Daphnia pulex: one gene and its partner. The protein of the gene in region 2 purifies or fractionates together with the protein of the main gene of each other region. This does not show direct contact. Links are inferred from orthologs where the notes say so. Each region holds a gene or a part of one and is shown on either strand. Other genes may lie near its edges.

Evidence for each region.
Region 1: the proteins of mitochondrial import inner membrane translocase subunit Tim16-like (region 2) and mitochondrial import inner membrane translocase subunit TIM14-like purify together in Homo sapiens (affinity purification with mass spectrometry; 3 studies listed by BioGRID and IntAct, with this or other methods). This does not show direct contact. The link is inferred for Daphnia pulex from reciprocal best matches to the Homo sapiens genes PAM16 and DNAJC19.

Annotation. Positions count from the first base shown.
Region 1 is NC_060023.1:5,722,221-5,725,283, forward strand, and holds mitochondrial import inner membrane translocase subunit TIM14-like, read right to left. Parts: upstream 1,561-3,063; 5' UTR 1,429-1,560; coding exon 1,426-1,428; intron 1,351-1,425; coding exon 1,222-1,350; intron 1,136-1,221; coding exon 917-1,135; 3' UTR 825-916; downstream 1-824. Other genes in the region: dnaJ homolog subfamily C member 3-like, read left to right, coding at 1,643-1,733, 1,812-2,122, 2,189-2,332, 2,398-2,579, 2,666-2,816, 2,875-3,063. UniProt on the Homo sapiens protein: Mitochondrial co-chaperone which forms a complex with prohibitins to regulate cardiolipin remodeling.
Region 2 is NC_060022.1:2,882,604-2,885,249, forward strand, and holds mitochondrial import inner membrane translocase subunit Tim16-like, read right to left. Parts: upstream 1,245-2,646; 5' UTR 1,156-1,244; coding exon 997-1,155; intron 919-996; coding exon 697-918; 3' UTR 587-696; downstream 1-586. Other genes in the region: furin-like protease 1, read left to right, coding at 1-140; pre-mRNA-splicing factor 38A-like, read left to right, coding at 1,605-1,734, 1,800-1,959, 2,025-2,146, 2,210-2,295, 2,361-2,646. UniProt on the Homo sapiens protein: Regulates ATP-dependent protein translocation into the mitochondrial matrix. Inhibits DNAJC19 stimulation of HSPA9/Mortalin ATPase activity.

The DNA of each region.
Region 1 (3,063 bases), on a different chromosome or scaffold from region 2:
GTTGGTATTATTAACATCGTGTTCAATTAATTGCTGTTTTTCCAAAAAAATTTGTATCTTTGTCTAGGATCTTTGTAATGCTATCAAATGATTTTCAGATGACATGTTTGAATATATTTTGGAATTGTAATATTTAACAAATGATTTGAATGGGAAATCAGTTTACTATACATCTAGACTAGATTTTTAAAATCAATTGATTAATGCTTACCTCATCTAGGTCCATGTAGCTGCCAGCACCTATGTATGTAAAAAAAATCCATAAAAATATTGGCTGTGGTAATCATCATGTTAATCACGATGGTGAATGGTGGACTACTAACCTTCAGGAAACATTTCATCAACAACTACATTTGGCTTCATTTTAATCACCGTGAAGTATAAACTTTAACTGACTGTAGTTAATTAACAAATGAGCCTTATTTGAAAACACTATTGGTGTTTCCTCAACAATTCTTAAGACTCTTGAGTTGGAGAAAGAATCCAAGAGCGACAGGACAATAATGTTGAAAAACGTATTTTCGTCTGTTAACTGCTAAGAAAAGATGGAACAATGTTGCCAAATCAAACGGTACCGATTTATAGCCTCGGGCATTTGGTATCTCCCCGTGGGCCCGTTTTGTTTCTCTTTATGTGTTCCTAGTGAAATGTAATATTTTAATTTTTGTTTTCTACATCTTTATGAGTATGTTGGAAAAAGTTGTAAAATATACTAGCTGAATCAATCATAGTAATTTTACCTGAACAGCAAACAAACTACATTCATCCTCCAAATTGCAAATTGTCTAAATGAATAATAATTGATTATACAAAACATACAATTATTGAAGCTGTTGACTCTTTTATTTGAACAAATGTTACTAAAGTTAGATTATTTACAATGAAATCTATAGTTCTCCCCTGCACAAAAGATGTTTTATTTCAAATTATCCATGAAATCTTTTGCTTCATTTATCTTAGCTGCTAAATATGGTGAGCCACCTCTATCTGGGTGATTTGCAAGCATTATTCTTTTATGGGCTTCTTTCACTCTGATTTTGTTGGCTGTTGGTGATACACCAAGTATTAAAGATGCTTCTCTTTTGGACATTTTGGCATCAAAACCACCTTTGTAGTACTTGCTTCCAAGAAGAGACTACAAAAAATATTTGAAAAAATGATAATAAGAACATTACCATAAGTAGAAAAATATCAACATTTACAATTAATTCTATCTAATACCTCAGTATCCATAGGAAACTGCTTGAGTATTTCGTTAAACTTCGTCGTCATTGTGGGAGCAGATCGAAGCAGTGTGCGACCAGCAAATCCGACAGCAGCCAGTCCAAGACCAACAACTATCGCTGTTGACTGAATTACATAGTAGACATTAATAGCAAAACTTTAGTTTCACTATACACAATAAAATTTACTTTGAAATATTACCATTTTTTCGTTCGGAGGACAAGAGGTTTCGTCACGTTTTTGTAATGTTGTCTGCTCTGTTACTCAATATCTACCCACGAGCTTGAAATTCTAAACAACAGATGGCTTTGTTTGTCACGTAATGTCTTCTGATTGGGCCACATCACAGACGATTATTCTATTATCAGTCTGAAGTGATCCTTGTGGCTTCTTAAAGCTCTTAAGTTTAAAAAATAGAATGATAACTTTAAAAATGGCTGATTGGGGCCCACATTCAAGACAAATGTATTCAATCTTAATTTGTCTCGTTAGCATCGGAATCATCGAAGGTACAAGCCGGTTTCTTCAACTCATGTAAATTGTCCTTGTGATTCAAACGTCTTATGTATTTATTTTTCATTATACAGTTCACGGAAACGCCAATCCCTCGGAAATTGAAAAGCATTTAGAGCTTGGTAAATTAATGATGGCTAAGGGCCAACTCCAAGATGCACTCACCCATTTCCATGCAGCTCTAGAAGGAGATCCTTCTAACTACTTAACATTATACAGAAGAGCTACTGTATATCTTGCCCAGGGAAGAGCAAGAGCTGCATTAGAAGATTTGAATCGTGTTCTTGAAATCCAACCAGATTTCATTCAAGCCAGAGCTCAGAAGGGAAATATCCTAATGAAGCTTGGGCGTTTGCATGAGGCACATATTGAGTTGGAAAAAGTTGTAAGTATACATGTTATTATGGTCAAGTTAATTAAAAAATATTTCCTATATGTCTATCTTTCACAGCTTAAAAAGGAACCAACAAATAGTGAAGTCAACAAAAATTACATAGCAATTGAATCATTGAAGAAGAGTTACATGCAAGCTCAAATGTTTTTCAGTGACAAGGATTACCACCATGCCATTGATCTCTTAACCCAAGTTATTGATGTATGTTTTTATAAACTTTCTTGCAAATGATTTCTTGCTACTATGCTAACATTTTCTTTCTTTAGATTTGCCCTTGGGATATTGGTTTGCGAGAGATGCGCTCAGAGTGTTATCTAGCTATTGGAGAGGCATCAAAGGCTATTTCAGATTTAAAAGCAGCTACCAAATTGATGTCCGATAATACCGGCGCTTTCATGAAGCTTTCTAAACTGTATTATGGCTTAGGAGAACCAGAAGAGTCTCTAAAGTAATTATTCTTGTGTTTTTTGTTTTGTTCTGCATAATATTGTCAATATGATACAAGTTGCTTACCTTAAATTATTTTTTCTACAGCCAAGTTAGGGAATGTTTGAAACTTGATCCTGAACACAAGGAGTGCTTTCCTCATTACAAGAAAGTCAAGAAAGTGGCAAAGCTTGTGCAGGATCTGCAAACTAACTCTAATGACAACAACTACCAAGGATGCATCACTTCAGCTAAAAAAGTATTTTCCTTTGAATTATTAAATTCCACAATAAATAACAATGTAACCATTCATATAGGTCCTGAAAGTGGATCCCACCGTATCAGAATTATTATTTTTGGCTGAAGATAAACTTTGCCATTGCCATCTTCAACTAGGTGAACACTCGGAAAGTCTCGAGTTCTGCTCTTCAGCTTTAGCTCGGCACACAGAGCCGAGGATATTGTGCGACAGAGCTGAAGATTACATTGCTCTTGATATGCTCGAC
Region 2 (2,646 bases):
GTTTCAGTTCTTCTTTTGTTTTAAACTGTTGTAGCGGCAGCAACGAACGGGAAACGAACCACAGGCAAGGTGACTACGATCTGTTGACACAAACAAGCGCAAATCTTCCTCCACCTATTGGCGCCGAAAAATCAGTTTAAAGAGTAAAAGTTCTAAAGTCAACATTGTTTAGAAGATAAAATGTCAGTTTTTAATATTTATAAAATGTAAAGATTATATTTGTAAAAAGGTTCTATAAATATTTGAATGAGCGGTTTGCCAGATTCTGTAATAAATTACATTCTAACGGATACCATATTGATTGTCGTCGTCAGTCATTGTAAAAACTGGTAAAAACCGTGTTTGCTATAGAAGGCCTAATGCATATAAAACAAATAATTAAATGAGCTTGGTAAATGTATAGTGAAATAAATTTGCAGCAATCACAAGTTGTGTTAAGATTAAAGTTTTCACTAAAATATATGATTCAAATATAAAGGTAAGAACAAAGCCTACTAAATTAAAATCATACCTGAAAAAATGTTTATACATCACATCACAATAAAAAAATATGCATAAGGATTCTATAATATTAGAATAAAAAAGGTTATAAAAAATGATTTTTATTAGTTATCCCTATATGTACAATTTTTCAATTTGACTACAAAGATAAATTCCAGATAATTTCCATAACCTTAACTGTCGTTTTGGAGAAGGTTACATTTTATTTTCTTTTGACGGTTCTTGTTTTTTTGTTTCATGTTTCATTTCTTGGTCAAGTCGTTCTTTAGCTCTGTATACTTTAGATTGAAGGTAGAATGAACCACCTTTCGTCTTGTCATTAACTTGGAACAAGTGATCATAGTTCTTCTGCACCAACTCAGGTTCTAATTTATCCACATTCAAGATTTCTTTTGCTTCCTCAAGGGTCATGCCTGTCTACAGAATGAAAAAAAAAACATGTTAACTTTTTAAAATTTACTGATATTACATAACTTTTGTGTGTAACAAACAAACCTTGAAGTTAGCTTCTACACGTGATGCGCCGGCTTTCCCACCACCAGCTCTTTTGGCAGCTTCCTGGCTAGCTTGATATTCTTGTTTAAGAGCTCTAGCAAACGCTCGCCCAATAACCTGGCCCCCCATAACAATTATTTGGGCCAAATATTTTGCCATAACCGTGGCGAGATAGATTCAAAATGATTACGTGATGATTTACGTCTGTAGTAGTATCAAGGTAGTATACTGGAATGTTTAGCAGGCGAAAAACAAACGGAAAAGCTACAGAAAAAAATGAAGACTCTTCTCTCAGAACAGACAGGTCAGTTTAAAAAATTTAGTTTGAAAAATCTTAAATAACTTAAGTGATTGATTTGTTAAAAATATAAAAATATTTCATAAAAGTAAACTAAATAACGATAAAATTTTCTTTTCAATTGATGAATTGATCGCCCCACCCACTTGACCACTTGATGTCTCTGTCTGTCCGTAGCAGACGACGGATTCAAGCGTCGTTCTGTCGTTCCGTTGCTAATGCCGACAAAGTTTTACTTTTTATCAACACAGTTAAATTTCAATGATTATTCTTTTGACTGTACACATCTAGTGTTTTAGATTAATTCAAAATGGCTAATCGAACAATCAAAGAGGCAATTTCTGTTAAAGGAACAAATCCTCAATACTTGGTTGAAAAGATTATTAGAACTCGAATTTATGATTCAAAGTACTGGAAAGAAGAATGCTTTGCTTTGACAGGTATATTGAAAATTTTACTTGTGTTTTGATGCACTCATTTTATTTATGTATATGTATTTTTTTAGCTGAGTTGATGGTGGATAAGGCCATGGAATTAAGGTACATTGGTGGAATATTTGGTGGTAATGTTAAACCTACTCCATTTCTCTCACTTACACTAAAAATGCTTCAAATCCAACCAGAAAAGGACATTGTAGTGGAGTTTATAAAAAATGAAGATTTCAAGTAAGTTCTTTGACCAAAACAGACAAGTTATACAGGAAATCACCTAATATAATGTATCATTATAGATATGTCCGTGCCTTGGGAGCATTCTACATGAGACTTGTTGGAACATCTGTGGAAATCTATAAATATTTAGAACCACTTTACAATGATTACAGAAAAATTCGGTTTCAAAACAAGGAAGGAAGTAATAATAAAAATAAGATATTTTTAAAAAGAATACTGCAAATTAACATGTGGTTTTATTTAGATTTTGAGCTTCTTTACATGGATGATTTCATTGATAGTTTACTGAGAGAAGAGCGTTTTTGTGATGTTATCCTGCCCAGACTTCAGGTATAAATGTGAATTAGTATTCAACCTAAAAAATACTGATTAAATACGGTTTATTTTACTTTCAGAAACGTCAAATTCTGGAAGAAGCTAATGAAGTTGAGCCGAGAGTATCAGCTTTGGAAGAAGACTTGGAGGAAGAAGATTCAGAAAGTGAAGAAGAAGAGGGTGAAAGGAAAGGAGGTTCGTTGTCGCCCCCTCCTACTACATCGCGTTCAAAGCAGGACAGTGATCGAGAACGGGAACGTTCTCGTCGTAATAGGGATAAAGAACGTGAACGAGAGAGAAGTAGGGAAAGACGTGATCGACATAGAGACAGAAGTCGAAGTCGTGACAAAAGGAATCGCAGCCGTG